Linked DNA regions of Arabidopsis thaliana. The protein of the gene in region 3 purifies or fractionates together with the protein of the main gene of each other region. This does not show direct contact. Each region holds a gene or a part of one and is shown on either strand. Other genes may lie near its edges.

Evidence for each region.
Region 1: the proteins of TAP46 (region 3) and AT2G22230 purify together in Arabidopsis thaliana (affinity purification with mass spectrometry, with the first as the bait; one large-scale study listed by BioGRID). This does not show direct contact.
Region 2: the proteins of TAP46 (region 3) and AT3G18190 purify together in Arabidopsis thaliana (affinity purification with mass spectrometry, with the first as the bait; one large-scale study listed by BioGRID). This does not show direct contact.

The regions. Positions count from the first base shown.
Region 1 is NC_003071.7:9,447,904-9,451,656, forward strand, and holds AT2G22230 (Thioesterase superfamily protein), read left to right. Parts: upstream 1-2,026; 5' UTR 2,027-2,138; coding exon 2,139-2,340; intron 2,341-2,417; coding exon 2,418-2,478; intron 2,479-2,591; coding exon 2,592-2,736; intron 2,737-3,269; coding exon 3,270-3,524; 3' UTR 3,525-3,720; downstream 3,721-3,753.
Region 2 is NC_003074.8:6,230,082-6,233,834, forward strand, and holds the start of AT3G18190 (TCP-1/cpn60 chaperonin family protein), read left to right. Parts: upstream 1-2,026; 5' UTR 2,027-2,144; coding exon 2,145-3,753. Other genes in the region: AT3G18180 (Glycosyltransferase family 61 protein), read left to right, coding at 189-345, 431-526, 638-1,797. UniProt on the Arabidopsis thaliana protein: Molecular chaperone; assists the folding of proteins upon ATP hydrolysis. Known to play a role, in vitro, in the folding of actin and tubulin.
Region 3 is NC_003076.8:21,486,350-21,490,102, forward strand, and holds the start of TAP46 (2A phosphatase associated protein of 46 kD), read right to left. Parts: upstream 1,694-3,753; 5' UTR 1,521-1,693; coding exon 1,425-1,520; intron 1,282-1,424; coding exon 1,159-1,281; intron 868-1,158; coding exon 781-867; intron 662-780; coding exon 557-661; intron 451-556; coding exon 289-450; intron 206-288; coding exon 170-205; intron 86-169; coding exon 14-85; intron 1-13. Other genes in the region: AT5G53010 (calcium-transporting ATPase), read right to left, coding at 2,550-2,601, 2,689-2,765, 2,855-2,956, 3,035-3,163, 3,358-3,403, 3,608-3,711. UniProt on the Arabidopsis thaliana protein: Involved in the positive regulation of the TOR signaling pathway. Acts as a negative regulator of PP2A catalytic activity. Plays a positive role in the ABA-regulated inhibition of germination, probably throught its interaction with ABI5.

The DNA.
Region 1 (3,753 bases), on a different chromosome or scaffold from region 3:
GTCGAATCCTTAAGGGAAGATACTTCAGATATAGTAGCCCATTAGAGATTACAGTATCCAATCGGCCATCGTATGGCTGGAGGAGTATGCTTGCTGCCAAACATGTTCTCAAGGCCGGGATTCGTAGGACCATTGGGTCGGGTTTTGAGACTTGTATTTGGACTGATCCATGGATCCCAGATATCTCCCCAAGACCACCGAAAGGTCTAGCTACGGATAGAAAACCTCTGATCTATGTAAATACCTTGATTGATTTTGAAACGAAACAGTGGAAAGTAGATCGGTTACGTGAGCTCTTCCCCCCCAAAGATATTACCCTCATTTTAGGGATAAAACCGAGCTTAAATGCCTCGCGAGATGGATATAGTTGGACTATGACCAAATCAGGTAATTATACCGTCAAGACAGGATATGAAGCCGCGAGAGCTATCTCTCGCCCGTCTTGTGACCACCCTTTTCAGGGACCTAGTGTTTCAGCACTAAAGGCGCAAGCGTGGAAGTTAAAAACTACACGAAAGCTTAAGCATTTTGTGTGGCAATGTGTGTCAGGTTGTTTGGCAACATGTCAACGACTACATTTTCGCCATATTGGTAGAGATAAAAAGTGTCCCAGATGTGGGGCTAATGAGGAAACCATCAACCATTTGCTATTTGATTGTCCACCAGCGAGACAAGTCTGGGCTTTGTCCGGTATTCCCTCCTCTCTATCTAGGTTTCCGTCGCCCTCTATATACAATAATCTGGATTATTTGTATTGGAGAGCAAAGGAGATTGGAGCTAGCGAGGAGAGCCTACGGATTTTTCCGTGGATCATGTGGTATATTTGGAAAGCGCGAAATCGAAAGATTTTTGAAAATATTTGCGTCCAACCTCAAGACACTTTAGGATTGGCAATCCAAGAGGAAGAAGTTTGGAGGAGAGCCAACATGAGAGAGGAGCAAGTGGAGGAGACGGTGCCATGTTTGCAAGTCCCAATTTTACCTTTGGACGTTCCAGTGTGCTTTATTGATGGGTCGTGGCATGTATCTGAACCTCGAAGTGGTCATGGGTGGATATTGAACATCGGGGAAAGACTGTTACACTTGGGATTGAAGGGATCACGACGTTGTTTATCACCGCTTCACGCGGAATTAGACACATTAGTTTGGGCCTTGAAGTGCATGGTGGGATTGTCGATATCGAGGGTACAAGTTATGACGGATTGCTCAGATCTTATCACCATGGTTAATACCCCGGAGGAGTGGCCTAATTTTGCATCGGAGCTAGAAGATTTCAAGATTTTTAGAGATAAACTTGTATCTTTAAATATTAACTACGTTCCTCGAACTAGTAATATTCGTGCAGATTACCTTGCAAAATGTGCAAGAGCACACGGATTCTGTTTTTCCCATGTAAGTTCAACGATTCCCGATTGGCTCTCTTTAGAGGAGAGCTTATATCCGTAGAATAATAGATGGAGTTAGATCGAGAAAAAAAAAAAAAAAAATTATGGTACTTATAAAGTTTAAATAACTATAAGCATTAAAGCATATATATTAAGCATCATTTGTTATGGTATTTAATTTTAAAAACTAGTTGACTTTTTAAATTGTCAACTCTCACCACAACTAATGGTCAAGATAATCTAAAACAATGCTAAAAAGGTCATGAACCCTGACCTAATTTTGTGGATCCAGCTAAAGATGTGATTATTTTTTATAAATTAGTCAACTGGAACAAATTTCATATACTGGCACCTAGTCTATGTGCCTTTGGTTATGCACAAATGCAACTCTAAAATCGTAAAAATCGGTGACTTTTTAAAATGAGTTTGGTTAGCGGTTCGATTCGGTTCATCAAAAGGAACAGTCAACCTTGTTTGTTCCAAAAAAAGGCTACGAAGGACCAAAAAAAGAAAAAAAGAAATGGCCTATACAGGGATCGAACCTGTGACCTTCGCGTTATTAGCACGACGCTCTAACCAACTGAGCTAATAGGCCACTTGTTATATTGTTTCCATTGTATGAATATATTCAAAACCTATGAATTTGTCACTATCTCTGCTTCAACTAACACAAACCTTTGTACTCTCCGCTCCTTCACCTGCAAAAACAACATCTCTCACATTCTCTCTAAACTCTCTTCACTGTTACTCGACAATGGCTACTACTTCTAACTCGGTACTTTTCCTAAGTTCTGACTCACTGATTCATCATCATCATCATCAACCTCTCCATCTATCTTCCTCCAGATCTCACTCTGTTTCTCTCCCACCCAACAAGCGATCCAATTCTCTCACGCTTCGTTGTTCAACAAATGGCGATAGCACCTCAACCGAAAAGGAAACACCAATCGAACTCAGTAAGATTTTTCTCTCGATTTCTAATGTTTCCGACATTCGTCATTCTCTTACTCAATCTGTTTCTCTTAATCCCCAGAATTCCCAGCATTTCCAACGGTAATGGACATTAACCAAATCAGAGAGATATTGCCTCACAGGTATAAAATATTCATAAGACTTCAACTTTCGGTGATTTGATGAGTTTTCGTTGAAACCCATGTTTGAAGTTTTGATCTTTCTGGAATTTGACATTATGGTTCTTGGATTTTAGGTTTCCGTTTCTGCTGGTAGATAGAGTGATAGAGTATACGCCTGGTGTTTCAGCTGTAGCTATTAAGAATGTCACCATCAATGACAATTTCTTCCCTGGCCATTTCCCTGAACGACCAATCATGCCTGGTGTTCTCATGATTGAGGTAATAATAATCGTTTAAAGTTGCAAACTTTTGTCCTCAAGAAGATCAAATATTTTGTAATTGATATGTTAGCTGTTGTATTCCTTTCAAAATGCTTTAATGTTCGCTACTGTTTTAATCGAAGATGGATGTTAACTATGATAAGAGGTTAATGATCTGCTAGTTTGGATTCTGAATCCTGATAGATTAGCGCGAGATCTTCACCTGGTTGGTAATTGAATTGTCCTTCTGTGGTCTGATAGAGTGATGAGTATATTATAGTTGAGGGACTTCAACTTCACTTTGCTAAAAACTTGATCCAAAATGTGTGAAGCTATCTGCAGCTTTGATACTGAAAACTCGAGTCTGCGTAGTAGAAATATGCAACTTTAAGCTTGAAAGAGGTTAATGATCTCGCTAATTTGGTAGAGGTTTTGGATTCTGAATCCCGATAGAGGATCACAGATCCTCTATAAAAAAGATAACCGCCATATGGTTGAGTATTAATGTCTTGAAGATCATTTCACTGAAAAGTCAGAGTTTGTGTATTGCAGGCAATGGCGCAAGTCGGAGGTATAGTAATGCTGCAGCCGGAAGTAGGAGGCTCTCAAGATAACTTCTTCTTTGCTGGTATTGATAAAGTGAGATTTCGCAAACCAGTGATTGCAGGAGACACGCTAGTCATGAGGATGACTCTTCTCAAGTTCCAGAAGCGGTTCGGGCTCGCTAAAATGGAAGGTAAAGCTTATGTGGGTGGTGCTCTGGTGTGTGAAGGCGAGTTCATGATGGTTTCTGCTGGTAGTTCTTGATCTCACCCATTAATGGTCTCACTTCCCACATGTGGACTCTTCTTATGCTTCTTCTGTTATTCGAAAATCTAGACAAGACAGCTTTATGTTTTCGACATTTATATGAGCTACTTTTGCCCTTCGTGTCTTTATTGCTGTCTCCAATTTATGAACATTCATAAGATACAAATACAGAGATTTTGATTTTGAAAATCCATATTCATAGATCATAAGTTTGGTTATATTACAA
Region 2 (3,753 bases), on a different chromosome or scaffold from region 3:
ACTAAAACGTTATAGTGAAAAAAAAAACACAGATAATATCGTCAAACAAATTCTTAAATACCTCACATAATCCTCTCGCTCTCCCACCTAGCTTGACCTTCATATCTCTACATTAGCCAGTAAACTCTGATTATAGAGTTTCTTGCTGAAGAAGAAAGAAAAGTTTTGTGTAACTTAAGAGTCAAGAGATGACAAAGAAGGATATTCTTTACGATACAGTACTTGCTCGTAGTTTTAGCAAAACTGATCAGAAGAGACTTTGCTGTGGAGCTTTCATTGCCTCTCTTCTCTTGGTCCTCACTCTTTGCACTGTCGTTAAACCTTATCTCAGCCCTTTACCAATCGGTAAGTCTCTTACCACGTTTTGCCGAAAAGCCAGATAACGCAAAAACAATCATTTTAACGTGTATCTCTTTCTTTCTTTCTTCAGTGGAGTTACAGTTATCAGTTGGCACTGGTCTAAGGATGCTGAGTATAACAGAATTAACTACCAACACTACAATCTCCAAAGAAGAAGTTATTTCAGGTCAATATACTTCAGAATTTTCTCTACAATTGTCTTGTTATGGTTTTTAGTCATTTTCTGTATAGTATGATACAGTTTGTTCTTTTGATTTTGTCCTGACTGAATCTTCAGAGTGCAATAAAATGGAGAAACCTATCTGTCACTGTAACACACTAGGAAGCAAAGAGTTTTGCGATGTAAGCGGCGACGTAAGAATCCATGGTAAATCCGCAACTGTTCTTGCGGCGGTCACGTTTGCGTTTTCCGGGAATTCCACGTGGTATATGAGACCTTATGCGAGAAAAGACCAAGTTCCTGCCATGAAACGCGTGAGAGAATGGACGGTGAAATTAGTACAAAACGCTAGTTTATCACGCTGCGTTAGGAATCACAGCGTTCCGGCGATTCTTTTCTCTCTCGGAGGCTTCTCGTTGAACAATTTCCATGATTTCACGGACATCGTGATTCCTCTGTACACGACGGCGCGTAGATTCAGCGGTGAAGTTCAGTTCCTCGTGACGAACAAGAATCTTTTGTGGATCAACAAATTTAAGGAATTAGTGAGGAAACTCTCTAATTACGAAGTGATTTACATCGACGAAGAAGACGAAACGCATTGTTTCAGCAGCGTCATCGTTGGTCTCAATCGCCACCGTGATTATGACAAAGAGCTAACGACTGATCCTTCGAATTCGGAGTATTCAATGTCCGATTTCCGGAAATTCCTCAGAGACACATACTCATTGAGAAACTCCGCCGTGACTACGAGGCGGAAGCCACGGATTCTGATTTTGTCTAGGAGCAGATCGCGAGCGTTTGTGAACGCGGGTGAAATCGCTAGAGCGGCGAGACAAATCGGATTTAAAGTCGTGGTGGCGGAAGCAAACACGGAAATCGCGAGTTTCGCAATAACTGTGAACTCCTGTGACGTGATGCTCGGCGTTCACGGCGCGGGGATGACGAACATGGTGTTCTTACCTGATAACGCGATCGTGATTCAGATTCTTCCGATCGGTGGATTCGAGTGGCTTGCAAAGATGGATTTCGAGTATCCGTCGAAGGGCATGAATCTGAGGTATTTGGAGTACAAGATCACGGCGGAGGAGAGCACACTGGTGAAGCAGTACGGACGCGATCACGAGTTCGTTAGAGATCCATTGGCCGTTGCAAAACGCGGGTGGGGAACTTTCAAGTCGGTTTATTTGGTACAGCAGAACGTTAGCGTTGATATAAACCGGTTCAAGCTGGTTCTTGTCAAAGCTCTTGAGCTATTGCATAATCAGTCAGTGTAAATAAGTAACTTTCAAGCATTCGTGTACTGTAATCTTGGGAACGAAATAATTACCAGATCATTTGGTCTAGTTTAGATTTTTCTCAAATTTGTTTAACCGTCCCCTTAACAAACACTCAAGTCTGAAGTCTGAACCAATAACTGGGCCTTTTGGGCTAACTCATAAAAACTCAAAACAGGCCCATTTATCAAACAATAGCGTATACCCTAGGGCTTTTTTCAAATTCTCTATTCTCTCTTTCATTTCCAGAACACTCTTGTCACACTTCCATTTAGGGTTTTCTGCAAATTTCTCCGTTCGAGATCAATTCCGTCGAGATCTCAAGCTCTCTCACTCGTAGTAAAAAAATGGCGGCGGTAGCGGCACCAATGGCTTCGAAGCCCCGTGGATCTAAAGCTGAATCGTTCGTAGACAACAAGCGGAGAGAAGATATCCGATTCGCGAACATCAACTCTGCTCGAGCAGTCTCTGACGCCGTCCGTACTAGTTTGGGACCGAAAGGAATGGACAAGATGATTTCCACGGCGAACGGAGAGGTAATCATTACTAACGATGGAGCTACGATCCTTAACAAGATGGAGGTTTTGCAGCCAGCGGCGAAGATGTTAGTCGAGCTTTCCAAATCTCAAGATTCAGCCGCCGGAGATGGTACCACAACTGTCGTAGTAATCGCCGGTGCGCTTCTCAAGGAGTGTCAATCGCTTCTCACAAACGGGATCCACCCTACTGTCATTTCAGATTCGCTTCACAAGGCGTGTGGTAAGGCGATCGATATTTTGACTGCCATGGCTGTTCCAGTGGAGCTCACTGATAGAGATTCACTTGTGAAATCTGCGAGCACATCGCTTAACAGTAAGGTTGTTAGTCAGTACTCTACATTGCTTGCTCCTTTAGCTGTAGATGCGGTTCTCTCTGTTATAGATCCGGAAAAGCCTGAGATTGTGGATTTGCGTGATATTAAGATTGTTAAGAAGCTTGGTGGGACTGTGGATGATACACATACTGTGAAAGGTTTGGTTTTTGATAAGAAGGTTAGCCGTGCTGCTGGTGGACCGACTCGTGTGGAGAATGCTAAGATTGCTGTGATTCAGTTCCAGATCTCACCTCCTAAGACTGATATCGAGCAGAGTATTGTTGTCTCTGATTATACTCAGATGGATAGGATCTTGAAAGAAGAGAGGAATTACATATTGGGGATGATTAAGAAGATCAAAGCAACTGGTTGCAATGTGTTGTTGATTCAGAAGAGTATTTTGAGGGATGCAGTGACTGATCTATCTCTTCACTATTTGGCCAAAGCTAAGATTATGGTTATTAAGGATGTTGAGAGAGATGAGATTGAATTTGTCACCAAGACATTGAACTGCTTGCCTATCGCCAATATTGAGCATTTCAGAGCTGAGAAGCTTGGCCATGCTGATCTTGTTGAGGAGGCCTCCCTTGGAGATGGAAAGATTTTGAAGATCACTGGTATCAAGGACATGGGGAGAACTACATCTGTTCTAGTTCGTGGCTCCAACCAGCTTGTTCTAGATGAAGCTGAAAGGAGTTTACATGATGCCTTGTGTGTGGTTAGGTGTCTAGTGAGCAAAAGGTTTTTGATTGCAGGAGGTGGTGCACCAGAGATTGAGCTCTCAAGGCAGCTCGGTGCTTGGGCTAAGGTGCTACATGGGATGGAAGGTTACTGTGTGAAGTCTTTTGCTGAAGCTCTCGAAGTTATTCCTTACACACTAGCCGAGAATGCAGGGTTAAACCCTATCGCCATTGTGACTGAACTCAGGAACAAGCATGCTCAAGGGGAAATCAACGCAGGGATCAATGTGAGGAAAGGACAGATCACTAACATCTTGGAGGAAAATGTTGTTCAGCCTCTGCTTGTGAGTACCAGTGCGATCACTTTAGCAACTGAATGCGTTAGGATGATTTTGAAGATTGATGACATCGTAACTGTGAGGT
Region 3 (3,753 bases):
CACGGTAAGCTACCTTCAACTGTCTTTCCTTTATTGCAGAGAGCATTTCCTCTTCTCTCTTTAGCATTTCCAACAGATCAATAGCCTGTAACGAAGTTCAATCATAAGATAATGCCTCCTCAACTTGTGACAAATCATAGGGTTCTAATGAAATGATTTTTAGACAAACCTTACAAATAGCCAAGTTAATTGAGGAGAGCCAGGCCTGCAGAGGAAAGCAATAAGACAAGAAAGCTTAGAAGAAAAAATCGAATTAGAGAAAGCAGCAAAACAAAAAGTGGGACAAACCTCTCTCTCTTCTTCGCTGTCATCATCTGGAATATCATCTTCTCCAGATTCAACCGGAGTCGACAAAGCTGATGCTTTAGTGGAACGTCCACGTCGCTCCTTCCTCTCTTTAATTTCAAGAAGCTTTGCCTCTGCAGCCTTTTGACGTTTGAACCGAGCTATCTACAAAGTACCATAATCATGAAGACACAACACGCATTTCAAAATCCGAAAACTTTAAACTTCATTCTCGTCAGAACATAAACAAAAGAAACAGGGCTGAATCTACCTTGAGAGCCCTTCGATCAGCAGGTGCACCAGAACCTCCTCGTGAAGAAGCCTCCAACTCCTCATCCGGAACAAGCTCCATTGCCTCACAGAACGAAAAGAACTCCTAGACACAATAACAAAACTATACATCAATCTCAAAAAAAATCCAACCAAATGCTCATTCCCACTTGCAATAGCATCAAAGGGATACAAAAACATGTAAACACTCAGCAGAAAACTAACCTTCAACTTAGCATACGAGGCTTTGACAATCTGAATCCGGTCCTCCTGTATGATTTTCTCTGTCAACTCCGCAAGATAATAAGGCACCTATAATCACAAGACAATATAATCCCTCGTCACTTTATAGAAATGTCAACTCGCAACACAATCTTATGATCTCAACACAATCTTATGGTCTCCACACAGAGTAAGTTCAATGGAAAACGTTACAATCCAAAATCTCAGACTCCATTTTGAATTTCAGTCAGTAGCTAAAACTAGAAGCATCAGGACAAGCTAAAGTTTTTCACTTTCAGATCTTTCCACACCAAAACTAATAACAAAACTAGAATACAAACAAATTACAAAAATCCAAACAACAGAGACTCAATTGCATACCAAAAGATATTTGAGATTGTTGGTGCTAATATCTTCTTTAGTCTCGTTAGACGAAAACAGCGCCAGCTTCCCGATCATATCTTCGCACTTCTGAAACATCTCACATCCTTTCTTCACAACATCCTAACAAACCAAAGGAAAAGAATGAACTAAGCATCCCCGGAAATGTCCAATTCAGTAAAAACTCGCGATTCGGATTCGAAATACCCATTTCAGATAAACACCCTAATCGAATCTGTATATAAAAAAGAGGTAGAAGCTTCCACCTGATCAACACCAGACTCTGAAGCAGCAAGATGAATTTTCCTAGCTTGCTCGAATAGCACCGATAAAGGCATTTCCTCCATAGCCAAACCACCCATCACAGGCAACAATTCAAAATTCCTTAATGAAATCGAATCCACAAGAATCGAGTTTCTTCGAGAAGAGGATCGTCTTTTGAATTTTTTTAGGGTTCCAAATCGAAATCTGACTAATTTACCACGAGTACACACAGACAGAGGAGAGAAAATGTTAACCGCGAAGAGCTTTATAAGGGACGGTTGAGATTTTGCCGCGTCAGGTGAAGTAGATAACTCGAATTCTATTAGCCGTTAGATCTGTCCACAACCTCAAAAGTCAAAAACCGACTCAGTTGTATAAAAATATCAAGTCAAAGATCAGGTGCGGCGGGTGTAGTGTAAAACCGCCACGAATGTGATTGTGGCTATGGTATATGAATGTTTACTGTTTTTTTTCTTAATTTGAATGGAGATGAAATTTTCTTGATTTTTGTACGAGTAGGAGTATGAATAAACTAGTATCGCACCCGCTGTCTAAGCAGCCCGAATTGTCGTAGTGTTATTGATTCGATCGACCTATAGCAGTAAGGAATGGTGGATACCGATAACTAAAGCCACCTCAATCGCGGTGAATCAGCTGGATCCAAAGATTTAGGAACATCCAACAAACAATTCATGAATCGAAAACGAAGAGGTGCATTGATTGAACAGAGCTTACTATATATACTATATATGACTGTCACCCATTACAGTCTACATAGCTTGAAAGGGAAATGGATACAGAACTTAAATGTTTGACTTTCACGCATTTCACTCGACATATCTTCAAGAGGAAAATGAATTGACTGAATAAACTGTAGTATGCTATATACACAGCACAATAATCCGCATTATTTAATCTCTCACGCACACCCGCGCAGAGAACAACAGCCTCCTAAGCGACCAAAGCTAGAGGGATGCTTCAAAAGTTGACCTGAGATGAGAACTGCAAGTTGAGAGAAACTACTTGCCAGATCTAAAATAAGATAGTCATATGCGATTCATTAGGAGACTTTGGGAGTGAATGGTTCTTACTTCTTACGAGAATTGAGCCATACGGCAAGAGAAATCTCAGTTACGATGATATTGGATGGCTGGGTAAGGGTAGCGAGTGGCGACTTGGCTGAAAAAAGGTTAAATTTACGTATTGAGAAAAAATGTGAAGAGTAAAAAATTAAAGAAAGTAGTTGAGGATGTTTATGAGCAGAACCTGAGTAACCCCAAAAGACTTGTCGTCACCCATTTTTTCAAGTCAATGAAAATGCCTGCGAACTTGATCACGATTATCTGATATGAAAGAACAGAAAGAGAGTATATATGGTTTAGGGATATATAAGAAAAGACAAATGTTGTGTTCACTTGTAAAGAGGACTTACCTGAGATATGATAGTTGAGGTTATTGTAACGAGAAACATATTCTCTCTAAGGACTTCTTTGAAGGTTTGGTCTACACTTTGGATTTCAAACTCATTAAAAACCTGCGTTATTTTAGAAAGATAGAGAGATGATCAACATATGAACTCTAATTAGAAGAGTGGGAAAAAATCAGATATTACCAGGTAGAAGACAAAGGAATTGAATATCAATGTGTTCATCATTTTTTCGGCATTGCCCGTCTGACCATGCTTCAGCTTCAGTAGCTTCTCAGAATTTATGAGTACCAGCGAGAGCACTAGGTAAAATACCTGGAGGAAGGTATTTCATGACACAAGCATTATTAGAGGTCTCCAAACCAGTGTGTTTGTCTCTAATCTAAATAATTAATTAGTTTAATATCACCAAGGAATTGTATTTGCTCCTTGGAAACTATGAAGGTGTGAAATACTTAATCTGACATTAACGTCCACACATGATCAATCGAGGATTTTACCCTACATACCTGAATTATCATCTTGGACCACATCGTCTTGGTTATAAGAGGATCTCTGAAAAACAAAAAATGTACACATGCATATGTACTATCAGTTTGTGTATATTCACCTAGAACAGATAGTGTGTTTTAACAAGAATTGCAAAACCAACAGTTTCTTCAAAACCTTCAGCATCAATACATTAATGTCTCTTTCTAAGCCAACTCTATATTGACTTAATAATCAAATCTTATCCTTGATCCTATTCAGAATTTGTACCTTATACCAACCGGTGGCTTTCCCATTAGGTGGTGATCAGATCTTGGTCTGTATGCCAAAGCTAATGCTCCTAAGATGTCGATAATTAGATTAACCAACAGAAACTGCATCAGGAAAAAGCAAAAACTGGGTTAGGGAAAAGGTTT